Callithrix jacchus: one gene and its partners. The protein of the gene in region 2 interacts with the protein of the main gene of each other region in a pairwise test. Links are inferred from orthologs where the notes say so. Each region holds a gene or a part of one and is shown on either strand. Other genes may lie near its edges. The genes, in order: TRIM42, EMD, CREB3, LUZP4, BYSL, FATE1 and ABT1.

What was found.
Region 1: the proteins of EMD (region 2) and TRIM42 interact in binary tests that used the Homo sapiens proteins (3 or more experiments, as listed by UniProt). The two-hybrid records come from large-scale screens. The link is inferred for Callithrix jacchus from reciprocal best matches to the Homo sapiens genes EMD and TRIM42.
Region 3: the proteins of EMD (region 2) and CREB3 interact in binary tests that used the Homo sapiens proteins (3 or more experiments, as listed by UniProt). The two-hybrid records come from large-scale screens. The link is inferred for Callithrix jacchus from reciprocal best matches to the Homo sapiens genes EMD and CREB3.
Region 4: the proteins of EMD (region 2) and LUZP4 interact in binary tests that used the Homo sapiens proteins (3 or more experiments, as listed by UniProt). The two-hybrid records come from large-scale screens. The link is inferred for Callithrix jacchus from reciprocal best matches to the Homo sapiens genes EMD and LUZP4.
Region 5: the proteins of EMD (region 2) and BYSL interact in binary tests that used the Homo sapiens proteins (3 or more experiments, as listed by UniProt). The two-hybrid records come from large-scale screens. The link is inferred for Callithrix jacchus from reciprocal best matches to the Homo sapiens genes EMD and BYSL.
Region 6: the proteins of EMD (region 2) and FATE1 interact in binary tests that used the Homo sapiens proteins (3 or more experiments, as listed by UniProt). The two-hybrid records come from large-scale screens. The link is inferred for Callithrix jacchus from reciprocal best matches to the Homo sapiens genes EMD and FATE1.
Region 7: the proteins of EMD (region 2) and ABT1 interact in binary tests that used the Homo sapiens proteins (3 or more experiments, as listed by UniProt). The two-hybrid records come from large-scale screens. The link is inferred for Callithrix jacchus from reciprocal best matches to the Homo sapiens genes EMD and ABT1.

Annotation. Positions count from the first base shown.
Region 1 is NC_133518.1:43,734,248-43,737,747, forward strand, and holds part of TRIM42 (tripartite motif-containing protein 42), read right to left. Parts: coding exon 3,184-3,500; intron 815-3,183; coding exon 590-814; intron 1-589.
Region 2 is NC_133524.1:150,171,711-150,175,893, forward strand, and holds EMD (emerin), read left to right. Parts: upstream 1-1,383; 5' UTR 1,384-1,516; coding exon 1,517-1,598; intron 1,599-1,722; coding exon 1,723-1,830; intron 1,831-1,978; coding exon 1,979-2,056; intron 2,057-2,269; coding exon 2,270-2,403; intron 2,404-2,838; coding exon 2,839-2,885; intron 2,886-2,966; coding exon 2,967-3,294; 3' UTR 3,295-3,701; downstream 3,702-4,183. UniProt on the Homo sapiens protein: Stabilizes and promotes the formation of a nuclear actin cortical network. Stimulates actin polymerization in vitro by binding and stabilizing the pointed end of growing filaments. Inhibits beta-catenin activity by preventing its accumulation in the nucleus.
Region 3 is NC_133502.1:142,636,979-142,641,006, reverse strand, and holds the start of CREB3 (cyclic AMP-responsive element-binding protein 3), read right to left. Parts: upstream 2,801-4,028; 5' UTR 2,611-2,800; coding exon 2,476-2,610; intron 2,383-2,475; coding exon 2,235-2,382; intron 2,164-2,234; coding exon 2,096-2,163; intron 1,983-2,095; coding exon 1,893-1,982; intron 261-1,892; coding exon 154-260; intron 73-153; coding exon 4-72; intron 1-3. UniProt on the Homo sapiens protein: Endoplasmic reticulum (ER)-bound sequence-specific transcription factor that directly binds DNA and activates transcription. Plays a role in the unfolded protein response (UPR), promoting cell survival versus ER stress-induced apoptotic cell death.
Region 4 is NC_133524.1:111,522,060-111,526,219, forward strand, and holds the start of LUZP4 (leucine zipper protein 4), read left to right. Parts: upstream 1-1,360; coding exon 1,361-1,367; intron 1,368-2,008; coding exon 2,009-2,143; intron 2,144-3,283; coding exon 3,284-3,402; intron 3,403-4,160. UniProt on the Homo sapiens protein: Export adapter involved in mRNA nuclear export in cancer cells. Binds and enhances the RNA-binding activity of the nuclear RNA export factor NXF1. Can restore mRNA export function in cells compromised by loss of mRNA export adapters.
Region 5 is NC_133505.1:50,424,053-50,428,049, reverse strand, and holds the start of BYSL (bystin), read right to left. Parts: upstream 2,801-3,997; 5' UTR 2,741-2,800; coding exon 2,473-2,740; intron 1-2,472. UniProt on the Homo sapiens protein: Required for processing of 20S pre-rRNA precursor and biogenesis of 40S ribosomal subunits. May be required for trophinin-dependent regulation of cell adhesion during implantation of human embryos.
Region 6 is NC_133524.1:148,013,588-148,017,579, reverse strand, and holds the start of FATE1 (fetal and adult testis-expressed transcript protein), read right to left. Parts: upstream 2,801-3,992; 5' UTR 2,719-2,800; coding exon 2,610-2,718; intron 1,615-2,609; coding exon 1,487-1,614; intron 1-1,486. UniProt on the Homo sapiens protein: Involved in the regulation of endoplasmic reticulum (ER)-mitochondria coupling. Negatively regulates the ER-mitochondria distance and Ca(2+) transfer from ER to mitochondria possibly implicating it in the regulation of apoptosis.
Region 7 is NC_133505.1:4,274,677-4,278,602, reverse strand, and holds the start of ABT1 (activator of basal transcription 1), read left to right. Parts: upstream 1-1,126; 5' UTR 1,127-1,147; coding exon 1,148-1,388; intron 1,389-2,063; coding exon 2,064-2,260; intron 2,261-2,412; coding exon 2,413-2,793; 3' UTR 2,794-3,926.

The DNA of each region.
Region 1 (3,500 bases), on a different chromosome or scaffold from region 2:
CAAAAAGGATAGCAATAGTTTTGTCCTTTCTTTTTTGGAAACCACAATGGCCTGCTTGGTGGCTGTCTCTTGACTTTCAGATGAACAATTTTTTTTTAAGAATAAATAGGTCCTAAATACTGTACTGGACATATTTATATAAAAATTATTGTGTGCCAGAAATTCAAATCTAACTGGGCATGCTGTATTTTTAGTTGTTAAATTTGGCACCCCATCCTTGACTGGGAATAGCACCTCATTTTTGTCTTTTTCATACCACAATTATTTCATGTTCTTCTCACACAACAATTATTTGTTTTCTAGACCCCGAGTACCTTGAAGGCAGGGATTATGTTTATTTTCCTCTGACTCTCTACATTTCTACCCAATGCTTAGAACAAATTTTTTGAATCAAATAGAACAATTCTCAGGCCTCATCTGCAAAGTCTGGTTGAGGCCAGCAGCCCTCTCTCTGGCCTCAAGTTAAATGTTATGTGCTTAGAGGAAGAATCCATGGTGAGTTCTGTAATCTCAGGATCATCTTAACAGGGCCTCATTCAGAACTTATCATAGAAAGGAAAATCTGTTTGAGAAATAATGTACACAGTACCTTGCAGATATCACTCCATTGCCCAGGACCATTATCATTGATGGCTCTAACTTTAAACACATATTCTGTGTTGGGGGTCAGGTTGTGCAGCTCCAGATTCTGCTGCATTATGTCCCGAATTTGTCCACAGAGCTCCATTTGTACATTGTTAGGAGGAGAAGTAATGACTTCATAGAATTCCATCTCAAAAGAGTCCACATCTTCTGTTGGACATGTCCAGTAAACCTATGAAAGAAATGAACATACGGGTGTGGTACTAGTATTCACCATTCAGCTTTCATTCCCTTAAAGATTTGTGGTGTTGACTATCTGTAGGGTAAGTTTAAGCTGACCCCATCCCCTGTAGCTGCTGAGGACTTTTAATTAGACCATGCATAAGTCTTGGAAGGCTGTGTGTTGAGGCCTGGCATAAGACTTATAATGAGTTTCACAAGCAGAAGATTTATGTTCTGTCAGTCAGCATGGAGGTGACAATTGTCTTCCTGCTTGAAAAATACAGAAAAATATAGGGGAAGAAAATAAACATCACTCATAAACTCACAATTCAGTTAAGTCATTATTTCTTTGCAATTTCAGAACACACACAAAGATACAGAAACATATATATAAAACTCGGATTATGTTGCTTTGATTTCTGTTTTCTTTTACTTATGTTGTATGTTTTCCTAAATCATTAAAAATTCAGTTAACTACCATCTTTAAAATTTCTACCAAAATAATTTAATCCTTCTATAGTTGAACATTTAGGTTGTTTCTAATTTTACTCTAATAATAAATGTTGCAATAAACACTGTTAGGCATGAATATTTGTTTGAGTTTTCAATCATTTTCTTGGAAGAGATTTCTAGAACTAAAATTGAGTTTTAAAAAATCTCTAGGATTTCAACAATACATATTGATAAGTTACAAGACTAAGTTTTAGAATGTTTTCTATGCTAACATCCTAAAGATTTGAGAGTGATATTAACATAGACTTAATTTTCTGCATTGCTGAGCACTATGATTCCTGTAGGAAGTCCATTCTGTTATTCTAAAATATGGTTCAATGATATTTTAAAATCAAATATCACCATCTGGCAGTAGGTTTAGGTGTCCTCTTTTGACCACAAATGACTTGACTGAGTTGTTTTGTGTAGGTCCCTTTCTTGAGCTCATCAGGGATGATTAATAGGTGGCATGGGGTGACTATTTTCCATGCCCAAGTGTAGAGCAGACACCACCAATCCTCTGGCTCCAGAGCAAGATCTGCCAACTTCTCAAGAGGCCCGAGTTGCCAAGGAGATGAGACCTAGTGCTATCCCTGAGGCAATGAGCATATACTACGGGCCTTGCTGATCTAGTATCATTTGGAAATGCAATTCAGCTGCTCAGTTATGGGCATTGCTTATGTGAAGGGCAGAAATACTTCATCATGTCCTGATAACCCATGAAATGTTCTACCTTGCAAATTATGGGTTGTTCTTTGTGTCAATTATAGATAACAAAACGTGGATTATGATGTCTCAGGAGAATGGAAAAGTAAAGCCTGGTCTGTGTCTGGCCTTCATTTTTTAGATCTTTGACACTAATGTGTGGTCTGTAGACAGCAGCATTGGCGACACCTGGAAGTTTGTGAGAAACAGAATCTCAGGCCCCATTGAAACCTACTGAAATAGAATCTGCATTTTAACAAGATCCCCAGGTGCACATCTGTGCTTGAGAACTGCTAGTTTAGAACTCAAGGATTTAAAAGTCTTTGGGAATGTTCTCAGATTATGGGAGACAAAAGATGGGCTCTGCCACATGGGAGCAGGCCATGGGCTGACTCTAGAAAAAATCCAAGAGGAGACAGGAGGCACTCTGATAGAATATTTAGTGGAATGTTATTCTTTTTTCCTCTATAAACTTCAATAAAGTGTTCTATAAACAATTCAATGTGGGTTCAGCTAGATTTGAAAGGTATGTCAAAGAAAAGGCCATTTGTCCATGTTAGGTCAAGAGGGTCAAAGGGAAGTCATGTCCCTTGAGGCCAGGCAATGGAACTTATAGAGGTCTGTGAGAGACCCTACTCTTCACTCTGTCCCTCAAAGGGAGGTTGACTTAGAAGAGCTGAAATTTCACTGGGGATGATCCTCCCTATTTTTCCAAATCATAGAGAGTCTGGATATTTTCTTTAGGAAAGGTAGCAATTTAGAGGAAACAGCTGATAAGTAATGGAACCTGCATTTCTAACTCCAATTTCTGTGCTGTCTCTATTACAGGCTTTCCTCTGGGAAACATTACACTGCCGAGTAGTCTCTTCAGATTACTTTGGTTCCTAGATTGGGTTCTCTTTCAGTTGAGAAACTGCCTTTGCAGTGGAGATAGGGCTTTCAGATATATTTCCAACTATGAGTTAAATGTATTGACTGTTTGGTTTAAGCAAATCTTGCATTACTTAAGATTTCAGGAACTTATCCCTTTTGAATGGACTAATCACAAAGAGTCCAGAGGAGCAGATCTGAGTGACCAGACTCTAGAGGCAGGTAGGTAAGCGCAACCTTTCCTGACTGCTCACTTCCACTCTGTGCCCCACACCCTCCCACCTTCCCCACTGGGCCCAGAACCTTTCTTACCTTGGCAGCTCTTGGGTACACCAGAGTCTGGTAGATAACAATTGGGCCCGGGGTCTTCACAGAGCCACCATTGAATAAGTACCAGTTGTGGAAGCTGCTGCTGTTTTGTACAGACTGACTATCTGGTGCGGCACTCCAGTAGGTGTAGAGGCCATCTGTGGGTTTAGCAGGGGTGGATGACTGGGCTCTCCCACAGGCCTCCAGACCCACCTTGGCCTTCTCGTCAGTGTTGCTGAAGGACAGCAAGGAGGAGCTTCGCTGATAGATCTGCTGGTTGCCAAAGCTGTGGGTGCTGAAAGTGACCTTCCTGGCAATCA
Region 2 (4,183 bases):
TGAGACAGGAGAATCACTTGAACCTGGGAGGTGGAGGCTACAGAGACTCAAGATTGCGGCTCTGCACTCCAGCTTGGGTGACAGAGCGAGACTCTCTCAAAAAAAAAAAAAAAAAAAAAAAAAAAGAATATCACCTCTTCTCCATTCTCCGTAGGGCAGCCCTTATCTGATCAAGGTCCTGGGAATCCTAGCCACAGTCCAGGCTCCTGAGCAGGCCTTGGCAGCCCTTCCATAGCTCGACACCCACGTCTGCCCCCTGCCGGGCTATGCTGGGCTCAGGGGCCATTCCGACAGAAGAGGAAGCCCCACTTCAGCTCCCGCCAGTGCCCCGGGTGAATGAACGACATGAAGCGTTAGGCTGGACACACGTCATCTCTGCACACATCGCACAGCGCCCTCTGTCCGCGCTCACTGGCGTGCTCGCTGGCTTGCCCGGGCCCCTTCGAAGGCTGCTTGCTCCTGGAGTGCCGGCGGCCTCCTGGCCCAGTGCCCCATTTCCTCCCGGGTGGAGCGAGGTAGGAGAAAAGGAAGGAGGGAGGCGGTGGGAAGCAGCGAGCATATGTGCACGGGCGACAGCCCTGCAGACTGGGAAGGTGGGCCCGTGGCAGGGGGTCTGCGAGGACCGCGTAGGCGCGGGCCTTGCCCCACAGCCGCTTCCCAGGTGATGCGCACACAAAGCTCCCTCAGTAGTGCCTAGCCCGGGGCCGGCGCTCCCTTAGGGTTCAGACCCTTCCCGCCGCTGCTGGGGCGGCCGACCCGGATGCGGCCGGGGAATCCTACGCCCTGGGGCCACGGGAAAGGGGACCAGGGCGTAGAGAAGGGATGTGCTGGGACGGTGGGGAGCCCAAGTGACTTAGGGACCAGAGCCACCGCTAGCGCCCACTTAGGCCGCTCTCACTTCCCGGCCGGCAGATGCCGGGTGTTAGACACACAGGCCCCGCCCCTCTCTACCGACTGGCTCACGCACGCCTCAAGGTGACGTCTAGGCTCCCAGCCGCACCGCCCAGACTCCCGTGCGGGCCCCACCCCCAACAGCTCCGGGCGTTAGTGACGTACGGACTCGCGACCCCGCTCGCTCCCACCGCGACACCTTCTGCTCCGCTCCCGCGCGGGCCCCGCCCCCTCCATCGCTAGCCAATCCGTGTGTTTGTGACGTTGGGCTTGCGGCCCCGCCCACTCCCACCGCGAGACTGATTCCCACTGTCCTGACTCTCGGCGCGGGCCCCGCCCCGTCCGCCGCTAGCCAATCCGTGCGTTTATGACGTTTGGACTCACTGCCCCAGCCTCCCAGCTCCCAAGGCCCGGCCGTTCTGCGCCTGCTGCTCCCGCCGTTAAGCCCCTCCCCGCACAGCGCGCGCAGCCTGCGGAGCCCGAGGCCGTGACGAGACAGTGATTTGGCTGTGACGCGAGCGCGATCGCTCCCGAGGCGCTCGTGCCGCCCCCGCCGTGATCCTCGGCAGCCGCTGCTCGGCGGGTTTTGGCAGGGGCCCGGCTTCCGCCCGCGCCCGCACCCGCCATGGACGACTACGCGGGTCTTTCGGATACCGAGCTGGCCGCCGTGCTGCGCCAGTACAACATACCTCACGGGCCAGTTGTCGGTACGCGGCGGCGGGCAGGACCTGCCCCCGGGCCCCCTCCCCGCGCTCTGCCCCGCGCCCTCCCCGCCACCCTACCCGCGCGCCTTCCCCGGCTTGTGGCCCTGACCGCCTCGTGTCCGGCCAGGGTCTACTCGTAAGCTTTACGAGAAGAAGATCTTCGAGTACGAGACCCAGAGGCGGCGGCTCTCGCCCCCCAGCTCGTCCGCCGCCTCCTTCTCCTATCGCTTCTCTGGTGAGAGCCTCGCTTGTGGGGACCGGGCCTGGGATGCGGGGAGATCGGGGTCGCGAGGGTGTGGCAGGGGCGCCGGTCGAGAGCGGCACCGGGGAGAGGGGAGGGAAGCCTGGGGGGCAAACAGTTCTGTCGCCTCCCTTCAATCCAGACTTGAATTCGCCGTCAGTGGATTCAGATATGTATGATCTTCCCAAGAAAGAGGACGCCTTACTCTACCAGAGCAAGGGTAAGGCAGGGGTGGGGTGGGCACGCTGGCACGTTCACCTGACTGCGTCAGGGACCCCGCTCACAGGGAGGACCTGAGACCTCAGCCCCAACCACTCCAGCAGCCTTAGGAGGGAGAAACTGTCACAGGTCCCGAAAGAGATTCAGATTAGGGCCAGCAGGCCAGGTGGGGCACACCGATGCCCCCTCTGCTACCGCTGCCCCCCTTCCCAAGGCTACAATGACGACTACTATGAAGAGAGCTACTTAACTACCAGGACTTATGGGGAGCCCGACTCTGCGGGCCAGTCCAGGGGCTTCCGCCAGTCTGCGACTTCACTCCCAGATGCTGACACTTTCCACCACCAGGTGAGCTGGCTGGCAGGTGCCCTGTACTTGAGTACAATCTAGGGGATGGCGGCTGTGTTTGGATAAATCCAGGGGGCCACTGGATACAAATGGTGGCTTCTGTGCTTCTGGGGAGACTGGCTCAGCAGACGCCTGTTTGGCCAGGTCCCTACTTTGGGGAGCCATCAGAACTGTGACTAGAGCACCCTGGTCTGCAATCTAGGCTCAAGCTTTTCCTGAGACTCCTGGGGGCAAAAGGGAATAGCAGGGCATGAGCACAAGTGACAAGACCCCACAAACAAAAGACTGAACACCAAGAGCCATTCGGGAGGGTGTGGGTCCCTGGCCTCTAACCAAAGGTCAGAGGGCACCAGCTGGGGAAGTTTGGACTGAGGGATGTGGCAGGGCCATGGTGGCCCTGCCAGTCGGTCCACTCACCCTGACTCTCTTCTGCAGGTGCGTGATGACAATCTTTTGTCTTCTGAAGAGGAGTGCAAGGATAGGTACGTAGAGGGCAGGCCCAGGAACAGGGACTGGTTCTGCACCCAGGCTCCTGGCCCACCTGCTCCCCTCTTTTGCCTCAGGGAACGTCCCATGTACGGCCGGGACAGTGCCTACCAGAGCATCGCGCACTACCGCCCTGTTTCAGCCTCCAGGAGCTCCCTGGGCCTATCCTATTATCCTACCTCCTCCTCCACCTCTTCTGTGTCCTCATCTTCATCTTCCCCTTCATGGCTTACCCGCCGAGCCATCCGGCCAGAAAAGCATGCTCCTGGGGCTGGGCTTGGCCATGATCGCCAGGTCCCGCTCTGGGGCCAGCTGCTGCTTTTCCTGGTCTTTGCGATCTTCCTCTTCTTTGTTTACTACTTCATGCAGGCGGAGGAAGGCAACCCCTTCTGGAGGGAGCCCTGAGGGTCTGGGCTTCAGAGCCAGCTCTTCTGGGGAAGTCCTGGCTGATGGCCTTAGCAGTGAGGGTGGGGGTGGGGGTGGGGGTGGGGGCTTTTGTGTGTGTTCTCGCTTGGGGGGCGCTGGCCCAGCCCAGAGTAGTGCTTGCTCCCCTGCCTTGTCCCACCAGGGAGGCAGCAGACTCAAGCCCTCCATGATCTGGGGGACCTGGGTGTGCTTTCCTCTCTAGCCTCCTGGCCCTGCTTGCCTGTAACCCTTAGGGTCCAGGAGGGCAAGGCCTCGCTCCATCAGAGAACATGGTTATTGTTGTTGTCATGCATGCCTCCTTTTAGTTGTCATCTTGAGGGGATTAACCAAAGGCCACCATGACTTTGTTTTCGTGGACACACAATAAAAACCCCATTTATTTTTAATGTGTTGACTCTTCCTGGAGGAGAGGGTTGGGTTCCCATGGCAAGGGCATCTGGCCTTGCTGGGTCTGCATTTTGGCTTTGGTCTGGGGATAGGAATCAATTGCTACCCAGAAATGTTTGTGTTTTGTTTGGGAGTTTTATTCCCTGACTCATTCCCCAAAGCACGTGTAACTGCTTATACATATAATTGTGGTACAACAAGGTATATACAGAGAACCCACTTGGAAATTCAGGCAAAGCTGCATGCACGCCACCAGCAGTCTGCGGGTGTTTTAACTGGAAAAAGCTGAAGTCCACCCGATTGTCCAAAGGCATGGGGACAGAAAGAAGATGAGGCGTCTCATTGGCAGATCATCCTTGGCTCCTGGAACTGCTGCTTGTTTACCATGGGAGAAAAGCTCCAAAGGCCGCATCATCCCTGGGTGGTAGAATTCACCTGCCTATATTCTCACTTAACTCCCAGATTTTCTGCCCTGGGTATG
Region 3 (4,028 bases), on a different chromosome or scaffold from region 2:
TACAAATTCTGTTCCTCCAGAAGCTGTACTTTGTTCTGAAGCTCCATATTCTGGGCTGTGTATTTCAAGACCCTGGGGGAAATAAAGATATGGGTATATGACCTGTATCCTCCCTTCAAAAATCTAACAACTGAGTCTCTCTCCCTTTCATACCTGCTCTCTAAACCCCCAACATACACCTTCTTCTTCCTGCGGCTCTCTTGAGCAGATCTTTTATTTCGAATCTTCCTTCGCACACGTTTCAGAATTTGTTCCTCCATCTGAAAGCAAACAGGGAAAGGGATACCATGAGAGGGACTCTAGACCAAGGAGTTGAAAGGCAACTGAGATCAATCTCTTTCCAATGCAGAAATCTCTTCTACAGCTTCTCTGACCAATAGGCATTCAGTTTCTTTCTGAATGCCTCCACGGACCAGGTGTTAACCCTAACAAGCCAGACCATTTTAAACAATTAAAAAAAAAAATTGGTCAGGCAATATGCAGCCAACGTGGCTTATGCCTGTAATCCCAATACCTTAGGGAGCTAAGGCAGGAGGACTGCTTGAGCCCAGGAGTTTGAGACCAGCCTGAACAACATATTGAAATCTTGTCTCTACTAAAAATAAAAAATTAGCTGGGTGTGGTAGCACACACCTGTGGTCCCACTACTCAGGAGGCTGAGGCAGGAGGATGGCTTGAGCCTGAGAGGTCAAAGCTGTAGTGAGCCATGATCTTGCCACTATACTCCAACCTGGGCAATAAAGAAAGAACCTGTCTTTAAACAAAACTTTCTTATCCTGAACCAACAGCTGCCTCCTTATAATTTCTATCCATTAGACTTACCTAGTATTTCTGGGGCCAAATAGAATGAACTGTGTTAGCTATTTTAAGGCACTTAACATTTCCTCAGAGCTTAAAAAAAAGAAAAAAAAACTTACACAAAATTTTTAACATCATCTTAGGATAGCCTGCATCCTCTTAATATCTGTCAAAGATGGTCTCAAAATTGGACATTAAGATGTGCTCTACCCAGTATAAAGGAAAGCAAGAGAGTCACTTATAGAGGCAATAACTCTATTGCTACAGTCTCCAAATTCCATTCACTTTCCTAGTAGCCACATCACACTGCCGATTCATCTTGTACTTTGAAGAAATTAAAATTCTGCACTTTGGTAGCTCCAGGTGGGTAGATCACTTGAGCCCAGGAGTTCAAGACCAGCCTGGCAACAAGGTAAAACTCCATCTCTACTAAAAATACCAGAAAAGATTTTGCTGAGCAGGGTAGTATGCACCTGTAGTCTCAGCTACTTGGGAGGCTGAGGTGGGAGAATCACCTAAGCCCAGAAAGTCAAAGCTGCAGTTAGCCATGATCACACCACTGTACTTCAGCCTGGGCAACAGAGCAAGACCCTGTCAAAAAGAAAAAATTCCTGTAACCTTTTTATTAATGAGCACTGATTTCATCATAGTATCACAGTACTCTGCTTGTGAAGTTGCTGCTCATTGCTTAAAACTTAAAACTCAGGATTTTACATTTATTCATGTCCTGCTTAGTCCACCCCTGTTGAACTCTAAACATTTTTACCATTCAGCAAGAGGTAGACTACTATCAAGCCAATGAAGTGTCAAGGCCCTTCACTTACACAGTCCTTTCCAAGGCCCAATACTAAGTTACATTGATGATTTTTTTTTTAGGCAGAACACCAAAATTTGTATAAGTAAGCCCAACAAATACGAGTATCTGCCCTTGCATCTAGCACATTAGGTACCTGCCCCAACTTCTTATTAGCAACAAATCTGCTAATTTTCTCAACTCAATCCTTTTTTAAAGTTATTGATATAAAGTTAACAAAACTGGCCTACTTGGGACTCTTACTCCCTTTCAGCCTTTGCTCAACCAATGAGAGTCTTACCTTAGTGAGAGGAAGTGTCTCAGGCAGAATAAGCCCCTCCTTCTCCAATAGACTCTTCTCCTCATCTGTCAGTACCAACCTAACAGTCTCCTAGGGTAACAAGAAAGTGGGCAGCAGTTGCATGGGGATGTCAGAGAGGAATGGGGAATCCTGCCCCACCTGGGGAATGTGAGAGTAATCTTCCTGAAAATCAAGTCAAGTACCTGCTCTGCCATTTCCTCCACATGCTGTGTAGTCATCTGGGTCTCCTCTTTTCCAAAGCTCTCACTCTCTGCAAAAGGGAAAGTATGAATAGCCAGGCCCATGAATCCTCTCCTCCCAGCAAACTTACTTCAGACTCACCTAGATCAACAGAGACAGCTTCCTGTGGGAGGGAGTAGGTGTGGTCGTGGTGGACAAGGCAGGGGTTGGAGGAGCTGAGAACGTTCAACGATGCTGGGGGACTCAGCAGTGAGCTCAGCAAATCATCTAACTCCCAGTCACTCGGTACCTGCGCAGGGTTCCAATGAACAGGCCTTGACCTATAACCATCACCTGACCTCATGGACATCCCACGCTTTCCCCAGTCGCAATCCCAACCCACCTCAGAAAGCAGCAGCTCCCAGTCCAGTGGGGCCCTGATGGCCTCGTGCGCCGTCCCCAAATCTCCACTTGCCTCTAGCAGGAAGCCCAGCAGGTCTTCGTCACCAGGATCCAATTCTAGCTCCATTTGAGACATCTACGTAAAGGGTGGGCCACGGGGCCCCAACGTCCGAAGCCCAGACACGAGTCCCAGATCAGCTGTCGGCCTTTGGCACTTTTCCACCGCCCCTCTACGGCCGGGCTTCCCCGCCGGGGCTATCCGTAGCCCTCTCCGGACCCACCTCCCAGGCTCAATTCTCCTCAGCCTCCAACACAGCGAAAGTGACGCACCCGGCCCCGTGGCATTCTGGGACTTGGAGTTCTCTCCAACTGGAAGGCGGCCTGGGTGCCGCGCCACGTCCCAAGGGCTATGCAAATACAGGGGACGGCCCTGCCGTCGCCTCGCACCCCGAGGGCGGAGGCTCCGGGGCTCCGGCTCCGCCTTCTCCCCCAGGCTGGAAAAATTAAGAGTTCAGGCCTAAAAGGAAGCTCAGGCGTCATCCGGGCGTCGTCTCAGCATTGCGCCGTACCCTCGCTTCCTGCCGGGGAGTGGCTGCCGGGCTTCGGCGGCTCCTGAGCATCGAGACCGGGGCCAGAGCAGCTTCCTGCCGGCCCCACGACCATAGAGCGCGAGCCCAGGGCGCCGCCCGCGGGTGGGGGACGTTCCTGGGACGGAAGTGGCCGAGGGAGTGTCGAAGGGAAGGCGAGGCCGGAGCCAGAGGGCGACCCGAGAAGCCTCAGGGCTGCGGGCCGGCGGGCAGGGCGCAGAGCCAGGCAGCGCAGGTAGGTTGGACCGGACCGGGCTGGGCCGGGCGGGGGCCTTAGGGTGGGGCCGCGGAACCTGGCCCTGGTGGCGGGCAGGCGGGGCCCTGCCTCTCCTTCGTGTCCGGTTCGGGTCCTATTAGTAGGAGAGGTCAGGGTCCAGCGCATCTCGACCTGGGCTTGGCGTGAAGTAGGCCGTCTTAGGGGAGACAGACCTTTCCTCGGAGCAGTCCTCTGCCTGGGATAGGCGTTGGGGAGCGTGAGGAGTCGGGTGGCAGCGGGGCGCAGGGCGGGGACGGGCTTTGGTGTTAGCTGATAGCGGGCATGTGGGTAGGAAAGCTTTGGGTGAGTTGCAGATTAGGTGGGATCGGTTTAGGAATGAGGGGTCGCTGTAGGAGTTAAAAGCTGGAGTTAAAACTTGAGTCAGTGTGAGTCAGGTCCGTTTTGGATAGGTAAGGTTTAGATTAAGGTCATTATTTTGTTTACTGGCATGGCCAGCATTCGTCATAATTTGAGTTCAGGATCGGGTTAAGGGTCAACAACAGGAATCAGGTTAGAAATCTGTTTGGGGGATTAAAGAACGTTGGCATGCTCACTATTAAGAATAAACAGTGAAAGGGTGAGTTAGGAATCAGTTTACAAATGAACTTTAGGCTTTGGGGTCAACATTTAGGGTTAACATCAGGGGATTTGGTGCTAAAGGTAAAACGTAGATCAGTGTTAGGGTTCAGGGATTGAATATGGGTCTTTGCT
Region 4 (4,160 bases), about 39 Mb from region 2:
CAGATTTTTTAACAATCACCATTCTAACTGGTGTGAGGTGGTATCTCAATGTGGTTTTGATTTTTATTTCTCTAATAATTAGTGATTATGAGTGTTTTTTCATGTTTGTTGGCCTCATATATGTCTTCTTTTGAAAAGTGTCTGTTCATATCCTTCACCACTTTTGGATGGGGTTATGTGTTTTTTTCTTGTAAATCTGTTACAGTTCTTTGTAGATTCCAGATATTAGCCCTTTGACAGATGGGTAGATTGCAAAAATTTTTTTCCATTCTGTTGGTTGCCGGTTCACTCTAATGATTGTTTCTTTTGCTGTACAGAAGCTCTGGAGTTTAATTAGGTCCCATTTGTCTATTTTGGCTTTTGTTGCCAATGCTTTTGGTGTTTTAGTCATGAAGTCCTTGCCTATGCCTATGTCCTGAATGGTGTTGCCTAGGTTTTCTTCTAGGGTTTTTATGCTGTTATGTCTTATGTTTAAGTCTTTAATCTATCTGGAGTTAATTCTAGTGTAAGGTGTCAGGAAGGGGTCCAGTTTCTGCTTTCTGCACTTGGCTAGCCAGTTTTCCCAATACCATTTATTAAACAGGGAATCCTTTCCCTATTGCTTGTTTTTGTCAGATTTGTCAAAGATCAGATAGTTGTAGATGTGTGGCATTGCCTCCAGGGCCTCTGTTGTGTTCCATTGGTCTATATCTCTGTTTTGGTACCAGTACTATGCTGTTTTGATTACTGTAGCCTTGTAGTATAGTTTGAAATCAGGTAGCATGATGCCTCTGGCTTTGTTCTTCTTGCTTAGGATTGTCTTGGCTAGGCGGACTCTCTTTTGGTTCCATATGAAGTTTAAGGTGGTTTTTTTCCAATTCTGTGAAGAAGGTCATTGGTAGCTTCATGGAGATAGCGTTGAATCTATAAATTACTTTGGACAGTTTGGCCATTTTCATGATATTGATTCTTCCCAACCATGAGCATGGAATGTTTCTCCATCTGTTTGTGTCCTCTCTTATTTCCTTGAGCAGTGGTTTGCAGTTCTCCTTGAAGAGGTCCTTTACATCCTTTGTTAGTTGTATTCCTAAGTATTTTATTCTCTTTGTAGCAATTGTGAATGGGAGTTTGCTCATGATTTGGCTCTCTGTTAGTCTGTTATTGGTGTATAGAAATGCTTGTGGTTTCTGCTTATTGATTTTGTATACTGAGACTGCTGAAGTTACTTATCAGTTTAAAGAGATTTGGGGCTGAGATGATAGGGTCTTTTAAATATGCAATCATGTCTGCAAATAGAGAAAATTTCACTTCCTCTTTTCCTAATTGAATACCCTTTTTTTTTTCTTGCCTCAAGTTGTATCTGTCCCCCATTCTTTAAATTATGCCATGTAAGTGCTCTCTGCCTGAGTACATAAGTACGTGCCTGACTACAAAGTAAAGTCGGATTGCTTCCTCCTAATACAATAATCTAGGTTCCTCACTTCTGTGGTGTCTCCTACTTCCATCACCACTTTCTTACTTTTGTCACTTCCTTTTTCTTCGTTAGTTTTTGATAAAATGCATGTAACTAATTGTCTATCACACTTAATCAGATAGACATTTAATGGTCTATCGCTTTACATTTAATTGCTGATTTGCATTTACTTAGCTGTGAGCTGTGCTATAATGACTCTATTGCTCTGTATTTCTATGACACTGAAATAACATTTAGTAAAATCATTTATTTAGATGATCTTCGCCACCTCCCACCCAGCTATTGCAATGTGGAAGTATTTTGCTTTTGCATAAATGAAGTTACCATAAATCCAACAGGAATTTTTCTTTCTTGTTCCAGCAAACCCTAAGATGTCTGTATTGTTTGACCTTTATTATAATTTAACAAATTCATTATTATTATGTTATCTTCTTTTAGGGTTATCAGTTTTTTGGTATTCTGAAATATGATGAGATAGGATATAGATTATTCATGTGAGACGTTGTAATTTGTTTTTTGCCATTTTATTCCTTTTTTATGTATTTTCTAATACAGATGACATTATACTCTATAAAAAGTTAGAAAAGATAAATGCTGAAATAGAAAAAAGGAATACAAGACAGATTCATAGTAAAAAGGATTTGCCTTCAAGACAACAATCAAATGGTCATGGACATCGCCATCAGAGAGGTAAATATGTTAAAAATGGTCACACATGGTAAAAAGAGTCTGAAATATTTGTGAATAACTAGGTAAGCAAAATCAAGAATTCACATTGTTCTAAAGTTACATTATGTTGCTTGTTTTATTTTTTCTAGGCATGGACCCATACAGGGTTGGTAAGAATTTATGCCATGTCATATGAATAAAAATTTATTTTAATGTATATAAGTTACTTCCCTAATGGAGAATGGGATAAGAAAATTAGCCATACGAGCTGAGAGATATTTTGTACTTGTTTACAAACCTCGGTTGGTTGGTCCAGTTCTACTTTTAGGAGGCAATACAGGAGGGTTAAGAGCATAGTCAATAATCTGAACACTATGGCATCCACATTTTGAAAATACAAATGTTGTAGGACAACAAGAGTAGGGTAGAACATGACAGATGTTCTCTGTATTCCTAACCTCATTGGTAAGTGCAGTATGTATTTTTTTAAATGAATGTGCTACAGATTGCCATAATACAAGGAGTCTTTTGAACAATTAAAGGTCTTCATAGTCTAGTCAATAGATTGAAACCATTTTGACATTGTGATTACTCTAAGCCCCTGATGGTTGCCTATGCAGCTTCATTTAAGTTCTTGTGTAAATCTTCAGTGGCTCATCATGTTCTGAAAAGAGAAGCGATGGTACTTATAATAAGGGCAGAGCAGCCAAGAAGGGTAACATGGCCCATTCTTATGTGCCTAAACAGTCATTGCAAAATTGATCTTCTTCGTGAGCCTTTTGGAGATCTATATTATTTGATGGTTTCTTAAACTGCCTTTATGCCCAAACAAAGCAGACACTTTCTCTCTATCTCTCCTTTTTCTATTGGAGTATTCTTTCAATTAATTTCAGATAGTATGTCCCAACTTTGGTGGCATATAAAACCAAAATTGAGATATATGTACTGAGACTATCCTATTAAGGTGTGCAAATTGAAATAGTATGGCAAAGACTTCTAGAATTCAGTGAGATTACCAGATTATATCAAAGTAATGAAAAATCAAAAGTTTTGCAAAACCCAGTGCATAGCTTTTAAAAAAAAATGAGATCAGAGATAATACTTCTGAAAGATGCATTGAATTTACTACTTGAAAATACAGAAAATGCTTATTGTTCAAAGGCTACTCAAGATTCAGAAGCAACTTTGAGGAAGGAAATCATGATAAAAAACCATCTCAAGAACCTTCTGGATTGAAGTCTGGACAACACCCTTTAAATAGGAAGCCTTTATTTGAGCAGGTAAACAAAAAACAAGAATTTACCAATATAAAAAGTCCTATATTTAATATATTTTTAATATTAATGATTTACTTTAAATTCTATTGAAAGCAAGGATTGTTTCTTGGTATTCCTCCAAGGTACCTTGAACATAATTTAAATTCAATGTTTGGTAGTTGATTTTTCCCCTGCAACTATTTTTTAATTTTTTTTATTATTATTGTACTTTAGGTTCTGGGGTACATGTGCAGATCATGCAGGATTGTTGCATAGGTACACACATGGCAATGTGGTTTGCTGCCTCCATCCCCCCGTCACCTACATCTGGCATTTCTCCCATGTTATTCCTCCCTGACCTCCCCACCCCTCACTGTCCCTACCTTGGCCACCCCTCAATAGACCCCAGTGTGTGATGCTCCCCTTCCTGGGTCCATGTGTTCTCATTGTTCAACACCCGCCTGTTAGTGAGAACATGCGGTGTTTGATTTTCTGTTCTTGTGTCAGTTTGCCGAGAATTATGCTTTCTAGATTCATCCATGTCCCTACAAAGGACACAAACTCTTCATTTTTTATGGCTGCGTACTATTCTGTGATGTATATGTGCCACCTTCTCATTGTCCAGTATATTGTCGCTGGGCATTTGGGTTGGTTCCAGGTCTTTGCTATTGTAAGCAGTGCTGCTGTGAACACACATGTGCATGTGTTTTTTTTTAAATAGAATGATTTATAATCCTTTGGGTATAGACCCAGTAAGGGGATTGCTGGGTCATATGGAATTT
Region 5 (3,997 bases), on a different chromosome or scaffold from region 2:
AAGAGAAACTAAAAAACTTTGTTCTTATACAGCTTACATTCTAACTGGAGGAGACAGTCTATGACCATACCACCCTGAACGCACTGATCTCATCTAATTGGAAGAGACAGACATAAATAAATGTATAAATATATTGGGTTAAAAGATAACTATTATGGGCAAGGCGCGATGGCTCATGCCTGTAATCCTAGCACTTTGGGAGGCCAAGGTGGCTGGATCACCTGAGGTCAGTAGTTTGAGACCAGGCTGGCCAACACGGCAAAACCCTATCTCTACTAAAAATACAAAAAAAGAAAAAAAATTTGCTGGGTGTGGTGTTGGGTGCCTGTAATCCCAGATACTTGGGAGGCAGAGGCAGGAGAATTGCTTGAACCTGGGAGGTGGAGGTTGCAGTGAGCCAAGATCTTGCCATTGAATTCCAGCCTGGGCAACTGAGTGAGACTCTGTCTCAAAACAAAACAAAACACAATGATGCCTATATAGATCGAGTGGAATGGGCAAAGGAGAAAGCAGTAGAAGAGGTCAGACTGGCAAGGAGGCAGATGGTATAGGGATTGTAGACCCCCGTACCCCAGCTGTTGAGTGTTCTGAAGAGTACGAGATACAGCAGGGCATGGTAGTTCACACCTGTAATCCCAGCGCTTTGGGAGGCCAAGGCAGGGAGGATCGCCTGAGTTTGAGACCAACCTGGGCAACACTATGGGACCTCATCTCTACAGATAATTAAAGCATTAGCGGCTAGGCGTGGTGGCTTATGCCTGTAATCCCAACACTTTGGGAGGCTGAAGTGGGCAGATCACCTGAGGTCAGGAGTTCAAGACCAGTCTGGCCAACATGGTAAAACCCCATCTCTACTAAAAATACAAAAATTAGCTGGACGGGGTGGCTCACACCTGTAACCTCAACTACTCAGGAGGCTGAGGCAGGAGAATTGCTTGAATCTGGGTGGCAGAGGTTGCAGGGAGCCGAGATCACACCACTCCAGCCTACGTGACAGAGTGACTGTCTAAAAAAAAAGAATTAGGTGGATACATGGTGGCATACACCTGTGGTCCCAGCTCTATGTGGGAGGCTCGGGTGGGAAGATAGCCGGAGCCCAGGAGATTGAGGCTGCGGTGAGCTAAGATTGTGCCACTGCACTCTACCCTGGGAGACAGAGCGAGAGACTCTGTCTAAAAATAAAATAAAAAGGAAAGGAAAGAAAAGAAAAAAAGGAGAATATGAGATACTATCTAGGAGGCTACTGTGATAATCCAGGTGAGTCTGTGATAATCTAATGTGAGAGACTGGTGGCTTGAACAGGATGGTGTTCCAAAGTGGTGAAAAGTGGTCTGATTTTGGATATAACTTGATGGCAGAGTTATCAGAATTTCCTTACAGATCAGATGTGGGGAGGGAGGGAGAGAGAGGAGTCATGTTTATCTTTAGCAAATGAAAGAATATCATGCTACTCACTGAGACAGTGGTGAGAGAAGCAGGTTTGGAGAGAAGGTCAGGATTGGTTTTGTACATGTTAAATTTGAGCTGTTTCAAATTGGAGGTGCCAAATAGGCAGTTGAATATAAGAATCTGGATTTCATGAAAGAGATCAGGGCTAAAATATAAAGTTAGGAGTAGTCACCCAAGAGATGGTATTGAAACCATGAAACCTGACAGCACTAGAGAATATCTGAAGAGAAGAGGTCAGAGGACTGAGGATAAGAGGTTGCAAGTAAGAGTCAGCCAACGATATTGAGAAGTGAGGTGGCAGTGAAACAGCAGTGTTGATGTCTTATAACCCAAGTAAGGATACTGTGGGCAGGAGGCCACTATTCAATTGTGTCAAATATTGCTTTAGATGAGATCTGAGAAGTGGATGAAGCACCTCAGAGGTAAGCACTCCCTCCCTAGTAAGAACCTATCAAACGTCAATTCATTTCTCTCCCTTTTTGTCTGCGAAACGTGTTTTCTGCTCATTACACTTCCCATTCGTTTTTCAGTTCTCAGCTTAAAGGTCCTACAATCGGAGAAGCTTCTCAAGACCAATGCTACTGTCACCAGGGAAACGATATTTTATCATGGAAATATATTATTCTAAGAGTCTACGTAATTGTCTCTCCGCTGGGCTTGACTGTAAGGTCCTTAAATCAGACGTGTCTGTATGTTGTTACTTCTGTACTCAAATATTCGATTGAACTTCGAGCATAGCGCAAAGCTCGTAGTAGGTTTTCCATAAATATTTACAAAACCAATGGATAAATGCTAAGAACACTTAGTGGCGCGAGCGATTACTTCCTATTGGCCTAACTTCGGGGGTGCCTAGAAGGGAGTGCCTAAAACTAGGAGTGGGCGCGGAGGTCTCTGGCCATTGCTTAGTCTCCCATTCCATTACTTTTGCAAGTCCCCTGCCGGACACTTTTTAGCTGTCCTCCCCCCCGCCCCCGGCCCCGCTGCTAGCCATTGTCTTGTTCGGACCTCATCCCAGACACTCACCCAGCCGCGTGGTGCGTTCCTGCGGCGCCGCGGGCTTGTCCCCAGTCCCATGCTCGGCCTCGAGCTCCTCCTGTTGCTGCCGTGCTTGCTGCAAAATCCGTCGGCTCAGCCGAGGCCCCACATACTCTTCCTCCTCTTCTCCGGTGCCACGACCCCGCCGCTTCTCCCGGACCCCTGCCCGCAACGCATTCCCAGCTAGGATCTGCTCAGCCAGGGGCGCATGTTTTTCCTGACCCCCGGCCCCACGGGTGGCCTTGAACTTGGGCATTTTTCTTGAAAATACTGCCGGGAAGGTTCGCACGTGGGGACGACGAAAAGGCCAGAATACACTTGGGTGAACTCCCACCTCCCAAGAGGCCACGCTGCGATCACAGCGCCCTCTAGCTATCGGAGGCCAGAAGCGCTATCAGCACCGCCCCTCCCACTAAAAGAGCTCCTGGGTTCCGGAGCTGGACTCCCAAATACATTTACTTCCTTTAACGTTGGCGTCTCTCAATAGTGCAGTCTAAGTCTCGTTCTTCTAGCTTCATGGATCTAAGCCTAGAGTGCTCAGCCAACCGGGAATTTCCGGAGCTAGAAACATGAGAGCGGGAATCCACTGATTATGTCACTGGAGGCGTCACCGACGGGTGCCAAGACACGCCCCATTCCTTGGGGAAGGCGTGGACCCGGCGCTCTGTTTTTACGTATTTCCGGAATCCCTTCTGCGACCGAAGCCTGTGTTGGGGAACTGAAGCAGTTCCTGTGGGCGGACTGGGAACGACGCATTTCTACTGTGTGATCCTGCCACCTTCCTGTCCCGACACCATGGGAGTGACTTGGTAGGACTGCAGGGGTTTTGTGGGGCGGGATTTGGAGTTGTGAAGGGCCGGGAAGAGGTCCTTGACCATGGCCCGCCGTCCTCTGGGAGCTGAGCGAAATGTCCTCGGGTTATCTGGATAAGAGGATACCGTGCGGGCCGCGGGTTCCCTGGGCCTTTTTCCTCGGAGATGCGCTCTTACCTCTTGGAAGGCGGCAGAGCAAAGGTTTTATACCAGGGACCTATCAATGGTTATGTACCTTCTTCCCTTATGGGTACATCTTCCTTCCCGTGAGGCCATAGTACTGTCTGCACTTGGACCTCAAGGTTGGAAATAGGGACTTTGGATTAGGACCTACCTGCAGACAGGGTTGGAGGGAGTAGGTTAAAAGCGATCAGGAGACAGTATTTTTTTTTTTTTTTTTTGAGATTTTCGCCTACCCTTGTCTCAGCCATCAAATGCAGTTAGACCAGCTGGTGTCTGTTTGTAATTTGCCCATTTTAAGATCTTGGGTCTAGAGGAAAAAAGAGGCTATTGATAAGAAGGAGATCGTGGTTCCAGGCACTCTTTAGGACCTGCTTCTCACTATGTTTAATTCCATGGTTGGTCTAGTTTCAATGGAGTTTTTATCTTTCATATGTTTTAAGTCTCAGTTGGAAGATGAGGTGGCAGGGAAAGGTACAACGCTCGCGGAGGCATTAGTTGTAAGGTACTAGGTCCCAGAC
Region 6 (3,992 bases), about 2.2 Mb from region 2:
GGCAGCTTGATTTGGCTTCTGTCTTTGGACACAGGAAGCCAGATCAACATCTGACCTATTTTTATTCCCAGGAAATCTTTAAACCTGGAAGCCTTTTTTCTCAATCTTCCCTGGGGCCATCCAACAAATCATTTCAGCAATCAAGTCTCCCTCCCTTTCCCAGTAACTTCCAAACTTTTCTGTGGTAACAGTAAAAACCACCATTTTCTAAAATTTTATTAATTTTTCCTCACCAACCTGAATGTGGTGAAAAGCATTGGCTACAGAAAGATGGGATTTGTGATTCCCTAAAGCAGTCAGGTCTCCCTTCTCTCCAAAATAAATGCCTTTTTCAGTATCCTTTGCGACAATGTGGCCAGCATCTTTCTAGAACATTCAACATCCACAGTGAATGTAGCTTAAAGAATTGGCCACAGAACCGTGGGACTCACATTATTTCCTGGAGCAGTCAGTCCTCCCTCCCTCTCCAATCCTGTTGCCTTTTCCCAGCAGCCTTTGCAACAGCATATCAATTTTTCTAAAACTTTCCCTTACCCACAGTGAATGTAGCTAGCTAAAAGGATTGGCTACAGAACTGTGGAACTCACCTAATTCTCCAGAAGAGTCAGAATTCCCTCTCCCTCCAAAATGACTGTTTTTCTCAATATCATTTGCAGCAGTATAGCCACTATTTGTTCTAGAATATTTCTTCACCCATATTGAATGTAGCTTAAAAGCATTGGCTACAAAATTGTCAGATTCACTTCACTGGATTTCTTCCTTTCTTCCTTGCTTCTTCTCTCTCTCTCTCTCTCCCCCACCCCCTTCTTTCTTTTTACAGAGTCTCTCTCTGTTGCCCAGGCTGGAGTGCAGTAGCATGATTTTGGCTCATTGCAACCTCTGCCTCCTGAGTTCAAGCGATTCTCATGCCTCAGCCTCCTGAGTAGCTGGGATTACAGGCATGTGCCACCATGCCCAGCTAATTTTTTTATTTTTAATAGAGATGGGGGTTTCACCATACTGGCCAGACTGGTCTCGAACTCCTGGCCTCAAGTGATCTGCCCATCTCCTCCTCTCAGAGTGCTGGGATTACAGGCATGAGTCACCATGCCAGGCCACTTGACTGGATTTCTTAACAGCCAGAAAGGATAGGAGCCTCACCTGACTTATTGTGTGTATACACACACGTGTACCACACACATAATTTTAAATACAGGAAAGCATTATTTCACGCAATAGATTTACAAAGTAAAGTATTTATTTACTCCCTAAGCAATATTTGTTTCAAGAATTCCGAACTCCCAAGGTTGAACCTCTAGTATAGGAAAGGATGACCGTGACCTTTAACTGGACCTTCCTTTCCTCATTTGCCAGCTCGGAACACAGGAGCTTTCTCTTCCTCCCAAGTCAATGTCTAGCCCTGACTGACCTGGTGAGGCAAGAGCCCCTACAAACAGTACTCCCAATCCCAACCTGGCCACCTTATGCTGAGGACCCCATACAGTACCATTTTCTTGGGCCGGGTGGCAGTCATATTCCAAACTGGTTTGGCTTCAGCAGAGCCTGCAGCTTTTGATTCCACCTTCTGCCTCTTCTGGGGGACACTGAGGGACCGAGATCTATGATCCATCACTTCTAGAGAGAAGAACAGAGGCCTCAGGAGCACCCACAGAAGTTATACCAGGGCTTTTTGGACACGAAACACAGCATAAAAGAAGGCAGAGGCCACAGCCTTCTCGGGAATCACTCAACACCCGTTCAACACTATCCACCAGCTGATCCCAGGCCTCAGTTTGTTCATTTGTTCAAAAGTTAATCAAGCATTTCCTGATGGCTGAGCTCGAGACTAGGTTACTCTCTATTCACTTAGAAAGCAATGATCAAGAACAAGATTCCAGCTCTCAAAGAACTGACCATCTGTTTGTGTATAAGGGGGAATGACAGGTGTACAGCAGAAAGTAATCTATCCTCGCAAATGCAGACAGAGAGACACAGGCTCCATAAACGATCAAAACATGGTAACATAGTAGAAGGAAAGGGCTCCCTCTAAAAAGTAGGAGACAAAAACTGAAGCAGGGACCTGAAAGAAATAAAGGACCCAGCCCTGGGAAATTGAGGGAAAGCACATTCCAGACAGAAGAAACAGCAAATGCAAGGTCTTTGGGGAATAAGCACGCTTGCAGCATTGTAATAACAAACATAAATGCAGTGTGATCTTGGCCCTTTTGTGAGCTATAGAAATGATATTTTCTGTCTATATCATAGCATGAAATGTTTTGAGGAGGCTGATACTATCTTATAGACTGTGGAGTTTGGACTTTCCTCTGAAGGGCAGGGAAATGAATTAGAGCATTGGGAGAGAGAATTGATCTCTGATCTTGTAATTTGAGCTCTCTGAGTATTTTGCAACAGACATGGTGGTGGCTTGGACAAGTGGGAGACAGTAGGAAAAATGCTCCCTTTTCCCTACCTCCCTTATCATCAACCCACAAATCCTCGAAGCTCCCCAACACACACATGTGCAAACACTTCCTTGCACACATGCACCTTTTCCAACACACACATGCACAGGTATAGACACGTATCTACAGAGTTGGCTATAGCCAAGTGGTATTTTAGAGGATCCTCACCTGCTATCCCCAGGTGCTCTTGGTTTTGCCCTTGGCTTCCATGATTCAGTTCTTCAGCCAGGGATATTTCTACCTCCTCCCTGGTGCTGATAGGGCCTCCTGCCATCATAACCAGCTGTTCACTTGTAAGCAATGGCTAAAAATGTGCAGGGTGCCAGAAACAGAGGAGTCACACTCAGAAAATCGCCTCTTCCAGGGACAGGAGCTCAAGGAAGATATAGTAGGACCTGGGGGTGGAGTGACACTCCCTCTCTAGGCTGAGGCCTTGGACTGAGTACCTTCTGTTCCCATTGTATCTAATTGGTTGGGTCCATGGCGTTCTCCCCTGCAACTCTGTAAGCAGCTTAGAAGAGATACAACTCCAAGCTTTTGCCTGTGAGAACTGCTCTGGCTCATGGATCTCCAGATTTAGCTCATGGGGGATCCCATCATCATTTCTAGGCAGATGCAAGGATTGGCACAGGGTCCAAGAGCCACACAGTGGCCACAGCAGAGTTAGGTCCTAGCAATCCAGGCCATACCATGCCTTCAAAAGGGATTCTCTGGAGAGCATATCCTACCTCCCATATCCAGAGTCCCCAAACACAGGAGGCAGCCTTTTTCTGAAGTCGGTCAGCCTAGGCAGGAGCCATGAGAACCAAAGGAGGGAAGGGTGAAAGAGGTGTGACCTGACTGCAGCCACTAGAACCCCAAGGGCCTCAGGCCCTGCACCTTCTAAGTTCCAATTCTCCCTCAGCTTACCTACTGACTAGACCACTGTGATGGTCAGGTTTATGAGTCACCTGGGCCAGGCACTTGCCCCTGGTGATTCCATCAAACACCGTGTAGGTGTTGCTGATGAGGCAATTTGTAGCTGTGATTGGCATCTACAACCAGTGGACTTGAAATAAAGTAGAGACTCATCCTCGATGATGTGGGTGGGTCTCACGCAATCAACTGAGAGGCCTGAAGAGCAAAGACTGAGGTTTCCAGAGAAGAGGCATTTCAACCCCAAGACTGCAGGGTCAACTCTTGCCTGAGTCTCCTGCCTGCCGGCCTGTCCTGTACATTTCAGACTTGTGAGGCCCACAGTCACATAAGCCAATTTCTTAAAATAAATTTCTCTATATTTGTGCATATGTAGATACATACATACATACATACATACATACATACATACATACATATATCCTATCAGCTCTGTTTCTCTGAAAACCCTGATTGCTACAACCACCAATGCTGAACCCTTCATTTAGGAAACAACCCCAGAGCCCCTGGGGTAATAGGAGGCTATTTGTAAAAGGAATCCTTTATAAACCTGTCCTGGTTCCTTTTCCAAATAGCCTCCTCTTCCCCCAGAGTCCCTGGGCCAAGTGGGAGGAAGAGGTGGAAGAAAGGAGGAAA
Region 7 (3,926 bases), on a different chromosome or scaffold from region 2:
CTGATGGGGAATCTGTGAGGACAGACCCAGGGCGGGCAGAACTAAGCGACCCGGGAGTCACCAGAATTGGAGTCGTGTGTGCCTCTGACATGTATTTGCAGCTTAAATATGCATGTGGATAATGTATCAAGACACACGTGTCATAGATGCCAAGCAAATGGTTCAAATAATTGTCGCATATTTACATTTTTAAACATTCACAAATCAAATTTAAAATATTAGACTAAAAGCAACTTAAATTTTCAAAAATTAAATCTAATTAAATTTCCAAAATTAAACTGTTTTCAAAATTTAAATTTTAAAATATGCAAAATTCCAAAGTAAATTTCCAGAAATAATTTATTTGAGTTTAGTTTTTGAGACAGGGTCTTGCTCTGTCGCCTAGGCTGGAGTGCAGTGGCGCGATCTTGGCTCAGTAAAACCTCCGCCTCCCGCGTTCAAGCGATTCTCCTGCTTCAACTCCCCGAGTAGCTGGGACTCCAGGCTCGCGCCTCTATGACCGGCTAAATTTTGTATTTTTAGTAGGGACAGGGTTTCACTATGTTGGCCAGGCTAGTCTCGAACTCTTGACCTCGTCATCCGCCCGCCTTGGCTTCCCAAAGTGCTGGGATTACAGGCATGAGCCACACCGCTCCCGGCCTTCCAGAAAGAATTAAAACTTCAAAACTCAAATTTTTAAAATGAAATTTATCAACTTTAAGACAGTCGTTCCTCAGCTGTAAACGCACCCGGGGCCCTTGAATAAAATGCTATTTTGATTGCTAGAACACATAGTACCTTCCCTACAATTGTTCTGCAAAACTCTCCAAAAAGCCAGTATCAACCTGACTTTTACCATCTCAACAAGGCGTTCTACACGGTAGGTTATATTTGGGGATCTGCCTTTTCTGCTTCTGCCTGTCCTGAATTGGAGACCTGACCGGGAATCCGTGAGCCTAACCCGAGCGTTCTATCCCGCTCCCACGCTCAAATCAGGCTTCCGACCCGATACCCTACTTCCGCCCTCTCCCCGGATCCGCCTGCCTAGCCCAATCTTGTCATTTGCCATTAACGCCTCGGCCCCGCCCCCTTGTGTCAGGCCGTCGCACGCGTTTTGCGTCGGTTGGCAAGGCACTTTACGGCTGTCGTGCTGTTCGTGTCGGTCAACATGGAGGGAGAGGAATCCGAGAAGGCCGCAACGGAACAAGAGCCGCTGGAAGGGACGGACCAGGCAGTAGACGCGGAGGAGGAGCAGGAGGAATACGAAGAAGTGGCTTGTGGCAGCAAGAAGCGGGTAGTGCCAGGTATCGTGTACCTGGGACATATCCCGCCGCGCTTCCGGCCCCTGCACGTCCGCAACCTTCTCAGTGCCTACGGCGAGGTGGGACGCGTTTTCTTTCAGGCTGAGGGTAAGTGTGCAGACCCTGGCGGTGAAAGGAGGAGGTGGTCGCGCGCTGGCGGGGGGCAAGCATGCATGTCCTCTTGGTTCGCTGCGCAGGGCTGAGGCGCGAGCTGCTGGATTTGGGCGGTGGGCAGTGCGGTGCTCAGCTCCCGGCTGGTGACGGTGCTGGGGTGGGCGCGCCGTGGGGATCTGGGAGAGTAGGTAGCGCAGTGTGTCTGGTGCTTCTTTAGTTCTCGGATTGTCACTGTTTGCGTTCTTACTCCGGTTCTGCTCACCTCTCCCCGGACCTGTTCACTGGTTTGTTACATGAGTACAACCCGAGTAAAAGCCTGCTCAGCTCTTCTACAAAACTGAACACACACCTTTGGCATCGCGACCTTGGTCAAGAAACGATTTGGTCAATCGCCCCTCGTCTTTTCACCCCCTTGCAGGCACTGCTTGAGGTTGGGGACTTGTGCAGGTTTTAAATAGCGTTCGGGGCAGGCCAGATTAAGGAGTGGACATTTGAGGAAAGACTTGAGTTAGAGGAAAGGGCGTGACTTAAGAGTTCCCTCCATCCGGCGGAAACTCTCAGGTGGGACTCCCGCTGGCAGATGCGAAGAACAATATGGGCAGTGGGAGGTTTGGTTTTGGGGGAACGCGGCCTAGGCATCCTCGACAGGGCTTTGCCTTTGGGTCGCAGACAGGTTCGTGAGACGCAAGAAGAAGGCAGCAGCAGCCGCGGGAGGAAAGAAGCGGTCCTACAGCAAGGACTACACCGAGGGATGGGTGGAGTTCCGCGACAAGCGCGTAGCCAAGCGCGTGGCAGCCAGTCTACACAACACGCCTATGGGTGCCCGCAGGCGCAGCCCCTTCCGTTATGACCTATGGAACCTCAAGGTGAGGAGCTAGATCTTTCTGCCACACCTCTCACCCTCCCTTCTCCGCAGCCCTGGTCCAAGTATCCCCATGGCCTTTCGTTGGCCTTGAGCCTCCCCCACTTTTCTCTCTCATCTGCTCTATCCTGATCTTTTCTGATTTTCTGCCCACAGTACTTGCACCGTTTCACCTGGTCCCACCTCAGCGAGCACCTTGCCTTTGAGCGCCAGGTGCGCAGGCAGCGCCTGAGAGCGGAGGTTGCTCAGGCCAAGCGTGAGACCGACTTCTATCTTCAAAGTGTAGAACGGGGACAACGCTTTCTTGCTGCTGATGGGGACCCTGCCCGCCCAGATGGCTCCTGGACATTTGCCCAGCGTCCTACTGAGCAGGAACTGAGGGCCCGGAAAGCAGCACGGCCAGGGGGCCGTGAACGGGCTCGCCTGGCAACTGTCCAGGACAAGGCCCGCTCCAACAAAGGGCTCCTGGCCAGGATCTTTGGAGCCCCGCTACCCTCAGAGAGCATGAATGGAACGTCCCTGGTCAGGGACTCCTGAGGGCCAGGGGGACTCCTGAGGGCCAGGGAGACCCCTTCCAGCTCCTGGCCCTGCTCTACTTCCTGTCTACCTCATACTAGAAGGATTGTGACTACCCAGGCAGACATTTTATTGTGTTTTTCAGACCAAATGTCTCTGGTCAGGGCCCAAACGTGGAAGTTTTGTGGGCTTATACTGTTCCCTCTCCAAACTCATGCCTGGGTGAGTCACCTAATTCATACTGTCATACTAACATGATTTGACTGCTGCATATGCTTGTTTTGTTTGACTCTTGACTGCCTGCCCCCAGGAAGGGCCTTTATTTCCAACAAGGGGGATAATGCCTAGTCCAGGCAATCTTTTTGTTTAGCAGTCACAGGTGAGGGTGGTATTGGCATCTTTTTTATGTAGAAAAAATTGACAGTTAATGGGGTAGACTGGGTTGGGAAGAAATACAGTTCTTCCAAATGTGTTTATAGAAAATAAAAATATTTTTATGTGCCTTTTTATTTTTATTAGGGGGCATTGGACAGATTTCAACTTTGATTTTGTGTTCCCTTCACCTTCATTCCATCTCCTGATCTTAGAGCACCCCCCCACCACCATCCACCTTGCCATTTCATCTGGGTTTTTTTTTTCTGTTTAGTTTCTGTCTACTTAATATCTTAGCCCAGTTTATCAGTCAGTTAAGTCAGCATTTTGTAAGCCATTGTTTGAGGAGGAAACAGTGACAGTAGATAATAACACATGGCCCTTGGCATTAAGAGTCTTCAGGCCACTAGTAGAAGACAGATAGGCATCGTGGTAGATGCATATAAGGGATGGAGTGGGGGCCATGGCAGGTCATAGAGTGCTCTCAGTGGGAACCTAATTGATGATCACAGTCTCCAGAGGTGAGTCAGTCCTCACCAACTTTTCCAGGTCATTCCTAGAAAGTAAACTGCAAAATAATAAAGCAGAAATCTGAAAGAGTATGATGTGCTCCCACAATTGCAAACAGTGCTTCCTGGGTGGAGTGTTGGGTTGGAACCACTGAAAAGGTGGGCAAAGCCTAGTAGAGAACCAGTGCACCTCAGGTTATATATGGTGGGGCTGCGACAAGAGAGGATTCACACGTGGGCAAAGTAGCCCTGTAGTCTTCAAAGAATCAGTGT